Macaca fascicularis: one gene and its partners. The protein of the gene in region 3 interacts with the protein of the main gene of each other region in a pairwise test. Links are inferred from orthologs where the notes say so. Each region holds a gene or a part of one and is shown on either strand. Other genes may lie near its edges. The genes, in order: SREBF2, DR1 and NFYC.

Region 1 (4,740 bases), on a different chromosome or scaffold from region 3:
AGTTCTCTCATAATTTTAGGTTTCATCTTAAATGTCACTTCTTCAGTCTTCTTGACAGCACAAGTCAGGTCCCTTGTTAGTTTCATCACCTCCATTACCTTTCCTTGATCACTTGTACCATCATCTGTAATTTATTTTTATGTTTAATATGGGTGTGGGATTTCTGTTTTTTTTGTTGTTGTTGTTTGTTTGTTTGTTTTGCTAGACTGGAAGCTCTCAGAGGGCAGGACACATTCTTTTCCCTGCCACAGAGATGGTCAATAAATATTGTCAATTGAATGTGCAAATAATCTCACTTAACCACAGCTATGAGGGATACTATTTTATCCCCATTTTAGAGATGACAAAACTGAGGCTTAGAACAATTAAACAGCCCAAGGACACACAGTGAATTACTGGATCCACGTGTCTGCCTCCACACAGCCTGTTCTTAATTATTGATCACTAAGCAACAGCTGCCTCTCACAAACTGGCAGGAAACTTACTTTTCCCTTTTATCAATATATTGTGAACGCCTCTTCTTGCCAATAAATATACATTTGTGTGCATAATTTTTAATGATCCCTTAGTATTCCATCGTGTGGATGTAATTTACATATTCATTTCCTTATTCTCACCTCTTCCTAGTTACAGTGCTGCTTTTTTTCTTTGAGACAGAGTCTCACTCTGTTGCCCAGGCGATCTCGGCTCACTGCAAGCTCCGCCTCCCAGGTTCACGCCATTCTCCTGCCTCAGCCTCCCGAGTAGCTGGGACTACGGGCGCCCGCCACCACCCCGGCTAATTTTTTGTATTTTTAGTAGAGACGGGGTTTCACCGTGTTAGCCAGGATGGTTTCGATCTCCTGACCTAGTGATCCGCCCGCCTCGGCCTCCCAAAGTGCTGGGATTACAGGCGTGAGCCACGGCGCCCGGCCTACAGCATTTCTTTAAGCATTTGTAATTTTTATTCCTTAGGCTAAATTCCTAGAAGTTTACAACACGACCAGCTGCGAGACGGGGCAGTGAGGTGCTTCAAGAAGTGGAAATTCGTGGGTGGGCTGCGCTTCAGAATCCTGGTGGAACTTTTTCAAAAAACTCATGCCCGGGGCCCCCCCTCTCAGGAGGCCGGCGACGGGCCTGGGCACTGGCGTGGTTTTCAGGTCCTCAGTGGTTCCAAGGTGCCAAGGATTGAGGACCACTGGAGAAAGCGCGAGGTCACGGCGGGTGCAAAGCAGAAGACGTAAAATCCTGACCGCCCTGGGACAATTCGCAACCCTGTCAGCCTCCGTGCCCGCCTTTGTAAGGGGGCTGGGAGAAGCGGGACTTGGATGACCCGGACTCCTCCCGAGCGCCGGGGGGCCAGGTTTGACTCCGCCGGTTTTCTCAGGCGGTCAGGGCGCCGGGAGGCAGCTGGGAAGATGACGTAATGTGCTCCCAGCCAGGGCTGGAGGCGGCCAGCGGTCGCAGGTGGAGGGTGGCCTGTTAACCCTTCACTCCCAGGCCAGTGAACGGACTTGCGTGTGGCGCAGATCCAACGGAGAAGGCAGCGGCTCCTTTAAACAAGGCGGAGAAGGTTAAGATGATGACCGGGCGGCTACTCCGGGCATTCGCTCCGAGGCCGCGAGGGGAGGAACCTCACTATGCAAATCTGAGCTGCTGATCGATGACGCGCCATCACCCCACGCGCCGCCTCGCGCGCCCATTGGCTGAGATGAGCCTGGTCCCATTGACAACAAACAGGGGGGCGCGCGGCCTGGAGGCGGGGCCGCAGGGGGCGCGGGATGGGGCGGGGGAATCCCGCCCCGCCCTTTTCGTGCGGCGCCCGGGCGCAACGCAAACATGGCGGCGGGTGGCACCCGCCGGTGAGGCGGTACCGGGCGGGGGTTGTCGGGTGTCATGGGCGGCGGCGACGGCACCGCCCCCGCGTCTCCCTGAGCGGGACGGCAGGGGGGCTTCTGCGCTGAGCCGGGCGATGGACGATAGCGGCGAGCTGGGCGGTCTGGAGACCATGGAGACCCTCACGGAGCTGGGCGACGAGCTGACCCTGGGGGACATCGACGGTGAGTGGTTGGTGGGTGGGTGGGAGTGCGGGGGCCGCGCGGGGAGGAAGGGGTTACGGCGGCGCGCCCGGGTGCGCGTGCGCCCACCCCCAGACAGCCCCGGCTCGCGCGGGAAGAACCCAGTGCGCACTGTCCCCCCGGCGGTCCCCAACCCTTCCGGCGCTGCGAGCTTGAGCCCTGCCCAGCCGCGCCGCTCCGGGAGGCCGTGGGATCTGGGGCGCCGCGGGGCCGAAAGCGGCGCGAGGGTCGCGGGTTCCAGAGCACGGGGCCAGGGACGTCGCGGGGGCGTCTCAGGGAGCGGCCTAAGGAGAGCGCGTGGCTGCCGCCTCCCTCGCGCGCCCACACGCGCTTTGCGTGGTCCGCTCTCCCGCCGCCCGCGACCGTGCGTCGCACCTGTCACTCCCTGCCCGGACGCGGGGGCGGCTTTGGGATTCCCGGGGCCCAGCCCCCAGTCTCGGCGCCCCGAATCCCTGGGCTTCTCGGGATTGATCGACGGCCAGGTCGCCGGGTGCTCCGCGAAACTTTGGGCAGCGACTGCAGAAGCAAGTTGCTGATGAAGAGAGCAGTGGCGGCGGCATGTGGACACATCTCTCCGAGATGGAGAGCCGGGCGCTCCTGCTGTCACGCTGCAAAGGGAATTAAGCAGAAGGAATTTTGAGTTGTGGCCCCTCGGGTACGGGCTGGGGAGCGGGTGGCCTTTGTTCCGGCGCCTTAACAGCGGAGTGGAAGAGCTGGTAGGAGCCCAGGGATCCTCTCTTAAAATACTCATTTTGCGACCACGGGAACCACGATTTAGAGAGGGTCAGCGGCTTGCTCAAGGTCACCCGGCTGGTTAGAGCCTAGTTCTTGCAGTTCCTGGGCCAGTATTGGTTTTTCCATACCCCTCCTTTCAGGAAAGAGTCCAGTTGACTAGGCTAGTAATCTTACTAACTCGATAATTGCACTCTTATGTTCTAGGCCCCAAAATACTTTGTATTATTTCACTTCTTCCTCACAACAATCCTGTGAGATATTCTTATTACCCCTATTTTAATACGGTAATTAAAGAAGCTGAGGCCAGGAGATGTTGACTTATCTAAGGCCACTCACCTTAGAGAGCTTAGGCAGAAACACAGGTGCATGGTACTTTTCAGTTTTCAGCATGATTTCATGTCCAGGATCTCACTACAGCCTTGCAGGCATGTATGATGGCTACATCCCCATTGTGCAGATGAAGAAACAGAAGCAGCAGAAGATTCTCTTTTGGGGGAAGAGATAAATGCAGCAGCTAATTGAAAAGAATCTGTTTGCCATTTTCTCATTTTGCTTTTGTAATATTTCTCCCCTTCGTTTGTCCTTGCTTTCCATTTTGGTCATGTGGGCAGTGTGGTAAGACCCTTAATTGAAGCCCCAGTTCTAACCACAGACTCTTTACTAAGTGCTCCTAAATACAGAAATGGGTTAACAAATGGGGGGTGGGGTAGGTGGGGGTTGGGAATATAGCAAGGGCAGCTAACATGTTTTGAGAACTTATGTGCCAGACGGTGTTAAACACTTATACATGTTAATGTTCTCAATCCTCATAACAACCCTGTCAGGTAGAGAGAACCGTTATACTAGTCATCTCCCTCTCACAGAACCTGAAAGTGAGTCCCAGGGTGGTTCATTAATTTACTGAAGATTACAGAGCCAGTAGAAAGTACTGTATGTCTATAGCTGCCTACCCACAAGGGCACAGAAAGAAATTCATATGCATTTTGCATTCCTATTCCATGATCAGTTCCTACTTGTCTTATTTTATTTATCTAACTTTTAAATTTTACTTTTTATTTAGTTATTTTTTGAGACAGGGTCTCATTCTGTCACCCAGGCTGGAATGCAGTGGCACAATCACAGCTCACTGCAGCCTTGACCTTCTGGGCTCAAGCGATCCTCCCACCTCAGCCTCCCAAGTAGCTGGGACCAGAGACGCACACCACCACGCCCAGCAAATTTTTTGAATTTTGTAGAGGTGAGGTCTATTCTTGGGCTCAAATGATCCTCCTGCCTCGGCCTCCTAAAGTGCTAGGATTACAGGTGTGAGCCACCTGATTTGTTTTTTTGTTTTTGTTTTTTGTGACGGAGTTTCACTCTTGTTGCCCAGGCTGGAGTGCAATGGTGCGATCTTGGCTCTCCTCAACCTCCACCTCCTGGGTTCAAGTGATTCTCCTGTCTCAGCCTCCCTAGTAGCTGGGATTATAGTCATGCGCCACTATACCTGGCTAATTTTGTATTTTTAGTAGAGACAGGGTTTCTCCATGTTGATCAGGCTGGTCTTGAACTCCCAACCTCAGGTGATCCGCTTGCCTTGGCCTCCCAAAGTGCTGGGACTACAGGCATGAGCCACCGTGCCTGGCTGAGCCACCTAATTTTTTTTTAGAGACAGTGTCTGGCTGTTGCCCAGGCTGGAGTGCAGTGGCACAAGGCTCACTGAAACCTTGAACTCTTAAGCTTAAGCAGTCCTTCCAGATCAGCTTCCCGACTAGTTAGGACTAGGCATGTGCCACCATGCCCAGCTAATTTATATATATACACACATATATATATATATTTCGTAGAGCCGGTCTCACTGTGTTGCCCAGGCTAGTCTTGAACTTCCAGGCACATGCAGTCCTCCTGTCTTGGCCTCCCAAAGTACTGAGATTACCGGCATGAGCCTCTGTAACCAACCCTGTCTTAATTT
Region 2 (4,715 bases), about 53 Mb from region 3:
AAAGTATAAAAATGTCCTATCTATTATGATTAGTGTACAGGAACACACTTCAAACACCTAAAACATATAAACCTTAAGAATTTCTTTAAAAATTTAACCTCTCAAAACAAAACTTCTTTGGAATAATTAAGCAATATGAGATTATAAATGTATAAAGTCTACAACCCCAATTAGGGAGAATTCTTGGGCGAAAATGTAGATTCTTATCCACCTAACAATAGCATAATACAAAAAAAAGAGGTAAAATTTTAAGACTATAACACGTCAATACATGATTTTCAAAAACAAATCATCTTCATTACACAATGGAAATGCTTTTTCACTATAGCTTTCTGACTCACACATTAAACTGAATTTAGCATATTCCAAAGTTGAATTATTTAGCATACTGCTTGCTACAGCTGCACTTCTATTCCATCATGTCAATCAGAAATCTAAATATATCCTAGAAAAGAATTAACTCTCCCCAAGAAGACAGACTGTAATGTGTTATTAGGTTTTTGGAACGATCCCCACTTCTGTAGTGTAAACAAATATTTAGGCAGACCCTGTTGAAATCTTTTGCAATTTTCATTAGAAAGGCAATGTTGATAAAAAGTTCTTTTTCCTTTTTATGAGTTGTAAAAAGAAATTACAGCTATCTGTGCTGGATAATCTTGTGAAAGACTTATGACAGCAATCACACATACAATGTAAAAATAAATACACAAGAGAAAAAACAGACAACTTGGCTTTCATTTTACTTGCTAGAGTATTCAGCACATCAAGTAGAAAAAAAAAAAAAAACAACTAGTACTAGTTTTAAGAATCAAATATGCTTTTTCCTAGGGATTTTTCTCCTTATGTACTGAAATGGCAGGATATATTTTAAAACTACTTTCAAGACGTCATAAAGGATTAAAAATCAATCATTTAATCCTTTTGTCAATACTGACAGTAAAATATTGGATATGGTCAACAGAAGCAGATGTGTTCTCTACTTCAGTACAACAGGCAAGTCACATTTTAAAAAGTTAAAGTATAAAAATTAAGTGACAGACAACCACCTGCCTACCAAAATGATTAAAATTAACCATTTTTTCCCTGGTTTCACAAGCAATCAATACTTTTAATTAGATTATTACGAAAGGCAAGTTCTCACTTCAAATTGAGAACAACTCTTTCACAAGAGTACATGTAAAAATATCGCAAAAGGTACATTCCCGAAACATTATGACTAGTAAATATGTTTCTCCTCTCTGAAACCATTAGAATACAGTCCCCCAAATCCCTATTACGGGACCACAACCTTTTCAGGATAAAAGAAACTGTTGAAGCTTTCAGAAGTGCTGTTCAATAAAAGCCTAAGTGTATGCATCCAAATAAGAATGACAGCAGGAAAGGACGGGGAAATTTTCCGTTAAAAAAAAAAAACTTGCATAAACTTTCAATCAAAGATTTTAAAACTTATCTCCACAGAATAGAACAAAGCAAACGACATAAAGGCAAACAAAAAGAAAAAAACAAAAATTTAAAGTTCACCCTTTTCTTACAGAATGGACCAGGAGTGCTTTCGTAACTCATTCATGAACGTACCATCAAACCATTTTTAGAGCAGAAAACATACCTCCTTTTATTCAACAACGATAAACTTGACAACGTTGAACACATTGTATATTAAGAATTTTTTAACTCATGTGTTCAGAAAATAAATCTTTTCCTCTACATTGGTGAAAGGTCAGGTGGGGAAGGGGCGCTCTGTCTCCATCCATGCTTGAAGTTCCTCTGTCTGAATTTTTAATTTTCCAAGGGAGAACTTCTGCGTTCCTTAATTATTATCTAAGTTCAACTTCAGGCAAGCAATTCCTGTTGCTTCGGCTTACCTGGCTGTAAAGTGAGATCACTCTTTATGTTTTGGGGACGTTGACCTAAATGTTTGCACTCCTTAACGTGTATTCGCTAGATGAAAAGTACTGCAAGAATGCTACAAAGGGATTGTTTTTAAAGCACGGGCTACCTACATGCCAGTCTGGCTTTTTCATTAAGTTACTTACCAGTGAAGAGGAATGAAGGCTTTGACATGAAAGCGTCACGCGATTAGCAGACTGCTCCCCTAGACCCTCATTCAAACCAATTTCCACACATGACTTACCTTGTATGACATGTTCTGGTGAGATGGTCTTCTTTTCCGATTTGTTACAAATCTCATTGGCTTCAGAAGATATAAGGTGAATGAATTCAGTGCAGCAGTTCACCACCAGCTCTCGAGCATCGTTGGCCACCCGGACATTAGGAAGAGTCTCTTTGATCATTTTATTGATAGCAGCTCTGGGGATAGTGAGATCATCATCGTTGCCAGACGAGGAAGCCATAGTACCTTCCTGTTTCTCGCGCCCCGGCTTTTAAAAACTCCCCGGCTCTGGTCCACTACTCCACGGAGATCTCTCAAAAAGCCGCCCTCGGAGAGTGATCCCGGGGGGTGCTTCGCGAAGAGGGTGCAGAAAATGAACGGAGGAGGAGCTGGCTTGAGGGCTGGGAACGCTCGCGTGTGTGAGAGATTTAGGATGAGTTTGGGAAGAAAGTGGGGGCCTGAGGATTCTAGAGAGAGCACAGCCCAGGCTGAGGGGAAAGCGCGGTGGTCCGGAAATTTGAGCGGCTGGGGAACCACCTTCGGGTCTCCTCAGAGGGGCGGGCACTGTCGCCTAACTGGTCCCCAACGGCGTCGAAGCAGAGGCAAGATCCAGGGGCACTGGCCTCGCCGCGGTACCGGGCGGGTACCCAGCGGGCTCGGCTCTATAGAGCCCGAGGCCCCGCTGCCGCTGCCGCCGCCGCCAGCAGCCGTTGCCGCCGCCTCGGCCAAACCATCCTTCAGACACCCGCGCCGCCGCCTCACAACATGTCCGCCGCTGCCGCTGCTGGAACGGCGACGGCCGCCTGGGAACTAATATGGACAGAGCCAGGCACAGTGGGAGTCGCAGTGGCTGCCACCGTGGCCGCGTAACCCGAACGCAGATCCTGGAAGCCGAAGCGGCGGCAACGGTGGTCCCTCCAGAGGCCAGGGAAGATTTGCAGGAAGCCGCTCCCGACACCCTTTGCGCCGCCGGAAGCTTCGTTCCTCAGATTTCCCCCTCCCTCCCGGACCGACTTCCGGATGTGGCTGCCGCCCTTCCCCCACCCACGCCGACGGGAGCCGCCCGTTCCCGCTGCCAGCAGCTTCCGCCTGCTGCGGTCCTGGCAAGCACCTCGGGATCCCATTCCTTCACAGGGGCCCTAGCCGGGCAAGCGCGCGCGTCACTGTACCGGAGAGCTCCAAGCACGCGCTTGGTCAGGGGCCCGGACGCTAGATCTGGGAAGGGGTGGTGGCTGGCTAGATGGGCGAGGAAGGATCGTCTCTACCCTCTCTCCAGCAGCTGAGGCCTCCGAACCCATCCCTAGCCGGATTTGGGGACAGAGGAGCGCTGGTATTGATAAAAGAACTCTCTTTGCTATTCTTTTAGGAGCCCAAATGAGGATTGAAAGTGAGAAGAATGGGGCCTGGGCTTGGGAGTGGGAGGTGGGGAAAGCACAGAATCCCGTGTGCCTGTTTCTGCGTCGTCTGGAGAGAAAGCTTTTGAAGATGTCTAATAGACCTTATTCGGGTAAAAGCTCTCTAAAGTCCTCCACCTTTTTTTTTTTTTTTTACTGCGTGGAAAATGAAACAGAGAAGTTACTTGCCTAGAGGCGACTAGGCGACTAAGTCGCCTAATAGATAAGTAGGAGAGTAGAAGTCAGTTCCAACGTAGTGGAAATGCATGGCGTACAATGAGCCGTATTAGAAGGTTCCCATTTAGACAGTTTTCATGGTGTATTCCATGTTGGCTTCTACAGGGGAAAAAAAAATGTTAGAGCATCTTAACTGTTTTTGCTTCTTTCCATAGTGACTAGTAATATCAACAGGTGTCAAGATCTAAACAGAAATTGCATTTTAAAAAGTGTGTCAGCCGGGCGCTGTGGTTCATCATACCTGTAAACCCAACACTTTGGGAGGCTGAGGCAGGGAGATCACATGAGCCCAGGAGTTCAGGACCCCCCTGGGCAACATGTGAGACCCGTCCCTACAAATATCTGTGTGTGTGTGTGTGTGTGTGTGTATTCATTCCAATATCCCACTGTTTATAGTATAGCCTCTTCTCCCATATGACAGTATGACACTCTTACGGGTTTTTTTTTTTCCACCGGGCTTGGTGGCAGGCACAGTAGTTCTGGCTACTCTGGAGGGTAAGGTGGGAGGATTGATTGAGCCCAGGGGGTCAAGGCTGCAGTGAGCTGCGATTGTGCCATTGCATTTCCAGCCTGGGTGACAGAGAAAGAGTCTTTGTCTCAAAAAACGTTAAAAAAAAAAAAAAAAGACAAACTAGGTTTGTCATACTGTCGTGTGGAATAAGAGGCTATATAAATAGTGGGATGTTGGAATTTCTAAAAACAAGACACCGTTTAAATCCATTTTGTCACTTTGGTTCATCAGATTCATTACTCTTGATGACACCTGGCTTGTTGACAATGTTTTCTTAAAACATTCTGTCGGAGCCCTGTATGCTGTTCTCAAGAAGACATTACAGTTTATTACTCTATTTTTTCATTTAGCATTTTCTCCAGGACCACTTACTGGTTCTTTAATTTCTGAAGTGTGGACACTTGTTTTTCAGTGCTACTAAATTTAGTCAAAACAAAATTTCTTTGATTAAAAACAGTATTTT
Region 3 (4,921 bases):
TAATGCAAATCTCATAATGCAAACTGAACAGGCTTCCAGATTTTATTCTGACAGGTTCCTAAATCTAATAAGAGTTTTTTAAAAAATCAGCATACCCATTTCACCTTATTCTGAGAGGTTCTTAAATTTTGACAAAGGGGTTAAAATTCTTTCACAGGAATCTTTCACAGTAAAGGATGGTCTCAACGTATGCATTAAATAAATAGGGTCATGTCAGCATAAACAGGAATATGCAGGTGAAGGCAGTTTAAAAAGACATGTGTCAGGTTTAAACTAACTCCTTTTTAAAAATATTAAAATACTGGCATTTTTTTCTTTGATGCCACACCTATCTTCATAAAGGTTTCATCCCCCAAACAGTCTGGATTAGTAACAACTAATATTACGTAGTTCTTCACAATTTGCAAAGTACTTTGACACACATGATCTCATTCAGGACTCACCACTAAATAAGACACTATTTTTAGGTCCCATTTTTACATGTGAGGAAGCTAACACTAAATGGCTGACTTGCCCAAACTACAAAGCTGGTGATAAAGGTGACTAGGGCTTGAACACAGATCTCTTGACTTTAAATGGTCTGTACCATACCGCCTCAAACATTGTGATCAGAGTAAATAAATGTTGACATCTCTAGACCCTATCTAAGCCTCCCCCACTTACACACACAGCCACCCATGGTCCAAATTACAGTTAGCTCTCTAGAAGGTCTTTGCTCTTTCTGGAAGCAAAGTTTTCTTCATTTGTCTAGTAAACATCTATCTGGCTAAGGTGTTAAACACCATTTGACATACACTAGAAAATAACTTAGTCATCAAAGGTTTTGCACAGGCATGCCCATGTGCATTTTTCCAGGTAGTGGGTCAGATTCTCAAAGAGTCTATGATCCAAAAATGGTGAAGAACCTCGGCGAGAGGCAGTGACTGGGTGTCTTTCCAAGAAGCCAAATCCACCAAGTTCTCAAGTTTATGGTTTACCTCATACTGTACCACACCTTCACTTTTGCCTCCCCTGCTACAGGCCTTCTTGTAGGGCCAACAGGGTCAAGACAGTACCTACAACTGTTTTTAAAATCATATATAAAACCTGGAACAACTGATAACATATAAATAATCAATGACTTTAAAAAAGTAAATTTAAATCAAAGTAGTACCTCTTAAAATGTAATCCTTAACACATACTTCTTTATCTTAGGACTTAAATTCCCAGAATGAACATTTTCTTCTTATAAGCATTCCAATTCCCCAAAACTTTCACAAATACAACTACTCTGAACTCCTAAAATACTATTCCTTCACTAAGAACCCTCTAGATTACAAAGAAGACACGGTAGCATGCAAGGAATTCTGAATCTGTTAGGCAGTTCACTCAGCTATCATACCAAAAGAATTTAGAATTTTTTGCTGGGGGGAGGGAAGTAAAAAGAGTGGGAGAGAGAATGAATGCAGCCCTATTGTCTTATTCCCTGAAAACTCCTAATTTGAATCTATAACATATTCCTACTAACCACTCGACTTGAATATCAGAAGTACAGTCTCTTTTCATCTTAAATAGAGCTTTTCAGTCCAAATCTGTATAAACAAACTTTGTCCTTCAATCTTTCAACTCCCCGGCAGTTTTTCAAGGTCACTTTTGAAAGCAACGACAGAGGCCTGCATCTAGAACTTTGACTTGCTATATCATTCCAACTCCAAGAGCCCCAAATCTAAATCCTATCAGTCCTCTCAGGTAAATCCTTTATTACAGGGGAAGCTAAGGAAGGCAAATCAACACCCTTGAAACTTCTCCTCTAATAGGGCCTGCTCCTTTTCCCTACCCAGAGACTAAGTGCTGCTGGCTCACGGCTCCACACTGAGTCTGCTGCAGAAATGTTCCAATGACCTTCATTCCGTATTTGCAAATAAAAAGAAAACAAAGAATTGCATTTTAAAATCAGGTGTATTATAGATTTTAGTACGTGGGATTCAAGATTTCACTGTTCATAATAACTGGCCGGTTACTGATTAGCAACCTACGTTAGCTTTGTACCCCTAAAGAGAAATATATATATATATATATATATCAAGGGCAAAAGATAGGGTGCCTATACTCTTAACTTTCCTATTCATAAACTGCAGGATTTAAAATATTTAATACGGAAAAATGAAAAGCACTTTGCTCATATCATTTTAAAGAACTAAATCAACACCTGACAAAACGTGTGAAATCTATGGAAAAAGATTTGCTCTTGTCACTGTCAATATAAGTGAAGATGTTTCTAACCAGCATTCTAAGCTAAAATGTGCATTAAAAACAAAGACTGTTACTACATTAATTAGTACTTATTAGAATCTAGAGGTAGACAGGTAAATCAAGAAAGTTATGGGAAAATTTCACACTGGCATGTGGGCCTTCACCATTAGAACCTGCAGCAGTGCAAATCATATTTTCACACAAATTTCTAACAGCAACGTGTCGCTTCCATATCTGAAAACACAGATGTCAACAAAGTGCGTGGAAACAGAAAAACTCTCACAACAACTCAGCTTATTCCATAGGAAAGCTTCAGTGCACTTGAACAAAGGAAAATTATTTGGAAAACAGTTAAGTTTACCCAATGCAAACAGAAAAGTGTTTTGCTTCTGTGTGCCCCTGAAAAATGATTAGCCTTTCTCCATGTACCTGATCCTGTCGATAGTCAACTAGGAAAGAAATCCTAGTTGAAGGACATGCAAAATCTAAACACAGCAAGGTATTCTAGGTGCACCAAAAGGTATGCATGGAATGTAAAGTGGCCATTTTCTGAACAGTGCAACTTGTCTACACTCTCTGAAGCTAAACAGTTTCTATCATTTCAACACAGAACAAAGAATTAAACTTACCGGGAACTGCATTAATTTTACATGTAGTTATTTATACCTCCTCGGACTGGGAGAATTTAAGTCACTCCTATCCCTCCCCCCCAAAGGACGGAGGAAACAAAAGGCAGCAGGAGATGCAGAAACCTGAGTCTGGAATGTCCACTCCAGTGAAAGCCCGAACAGCTGTCCTCCCACCCCCCAACAAACTATTCGCCATTTTTCTTTGTCTTTCAGCTGACCCCTGCCTCAGTGAAAAACTCCGAGGCTCCAATGAAGCCCTGCAGCCTCCTTCCACTTTAACAGTCAAAGGCATTCAATCTAGCATGCTATTTGACACCAAACCTTGCCTCCACTGTGATCCCATTGGCTGAACTGCTTTATTGGCTAAGAACACAAAGCCACGATTGGCTGTTCACGTCATCAGTTACCTCTTTTGTACACTTCCTGTTTTAAAGTTACCTTGAGAAGCAGAACAGGGGTCAGATTCAGACTTCAAACTATGGGGAACTCTAAGGGGTGGAAATGCCTGGCAAATGCACATAGCAGTTGCACTAGGGAATCATGTGTTTCTAAAACAGAATACTGAAAATTTAGAATTGTTCTTAAAAACAAGCCAAAGGGTTGTTACTGTTCCCACCCACGGGATTTCTTATTGGCTGTCAGAGTTCCATTTAAAAAATTTACGGTAATTTAACTGCTGCTGATTGGCCATCAAAGATGTCTGTAAGATACTGCTACGGTATCCTATGGTAATAGACCAGAGAAGCAATGTGCACAAGGTCGGAAAGTTGTGACCATCTTCAGTTTTCTGCTGAGCATTAAAAGAAGAAAAAACTGGGTAGGGCTAGTGCAAAGAAAATGCAGCTTCTTTAACACTAACAGAGTGATGCCAATGGCCATACAATAGTTTGCAAGATTTCTAAAAGGCATCTGTCATTATGTTAGTGGCACTTTAAAGGCACAGACTGGTATCAAGGCAAAGCACTTTATATGAAAACACAAACTAATTTAAATAGAAAAATTTTAAGGTAATGTATGAAGTTAGTGGCAGAGACAGTGGCATTTCTAGAATGTCAACCAGGAACCTAAGAAGGAAATACAATGATAAAGGTGGGAACGGGGGGTGGGGGAGGGATGACAAAAAAGCTAGAACATCAGTGAATACAATCATCCCCTGGTATCCATGGGAGACTGGTTCCAGGATACTCCCCAGCCAACCCTCTCATGGATACCAAAATCCTTCAGTGCTCATGTCCCTAATATAAAACGGTACAGTATTTGCATAAAACACTTGCACATTCCCATGTATACTTTTTTTTTAAGAGATGGTGTCTCACTATGTTGCTAGGCTGCAATGCAGTGGCTATTCAGGCATAATCAGGGCACTACCGCCTCAAACTCTTGGGCTCAAGCAATCTTCCCACCGCAGCTACCAAAGTGAGCGAAACTACACGTGCATGTCACCTTGCCCAGCTTCCTGTATACTTTAAATCATCACTAGGTTACGTATAATACCTAATAAAATGTAAATGCTATACATGTAGTGGTTATACTGTATTGTTTAGGGAATAATGACAAGGAAAAAAGTCTGCATATGTTCTATACAGACACAATTTTTAAAAATATTTTTGACCCATGGTTGGTTGAATGCTTAGATGCAGAGGGCTGATGACGTATTATTAAAAGCACATTATAATTTGATGGATTAACTAATTTATTTAAGGCAGCCACAGAGTTTGACATCACAGAGGATAAAAATCATTCCTTTTTTTTTTTTTGGAGATAGGGTCTGGCTCTGTCACCCAAGCTGGGGTGTTGCTGGGGTGCAGAGGCACGATCTCGGCTTACTGCAGCCTCCGCCTCCTGGGCTCAAGCGATCTTCCCACCTTGTCCTCCTAAGTAGCTAGGACTGCAGGTGTGCGCCACCACGCCAGCTAATTTTTATATTTCTTTCCTTTTTTCAATTTTTTTCAATTGGTAGAGATGGGGTCTCGCCATGTTGCCCAGGCTGGTCTCGAACTTCTGGGCTGAAGGGAGTCTCCTGCCCCTGCCTCCCAAAGTGCTGGGATTACAGGCGTGAG

Evidence for each region.
Region 1: the proteins of NFYC (region 3) and SREBF2 interact in binary tests that used the Homo sapiens proteins (3 or more experiments, as listed by UniProt). The link is inferred for Macaca fascicularis from reciprocal best matches to the Homo sapiens genes NFYC and SREBF2.
Region 2: the proteins of NFYC (region 3) and DR1 interact in binary tests that used the Homo sapiens proteins (3 or more experiments, as listed by UniProt). The link is inferred for Macaca fascicularis from reciprocal best matches to the Homo sapiens genes NFYC and DR1.

Annotation. Positions count from the first base shown.
Region 1 is NC_088384.1:9,777,957-9,782,696, reverse strand, and holds the start of SREBF2 (sterol regulatory element-binding protein 2), read left to right. Parts: upstream 1-1,786; 5' UTR 1,787-1,951; coding exon 1,952-2,039; intron 2,040-2,130; exon of another isoform or gene 2,131-2,712; intron 2,713-4,740.
Region 2 is NC_088375.1:141,054,260-141,058,974, forward strand, and holds the start of DR1 (protein Dr1), read right to left. Parts: upstream 3,076-4,715; 5' UTR 2,352-3,075; coding exon 2,132-2,351; intron 1-2,131. UniProt on the Homo sapiens protein: The association of the DR1/DRAP1 heterodimer with TBP results in a functional repression of both activated and basal transcription of class II genes.
Region 3 is NC_088375.1:194,182,215-194,187,135, forward strand, and holds the start of NFYC (nuclear transcription factor Y subunit gamma), read right to left. Parts: upstream 3,156-4,921; 5' UTR 3,154-3,155; coding exon 2,985-3,153; exon of another isoform or gene 2,862-2,984; intron 1-2,861. UniProt on the Homo sapiens protein: Component of the sequence-specific heterotrimeric transcription factor (NF-Y) which specifically recognizes a 5'-CCAAT-3' box motif found in the promoters of its target genes.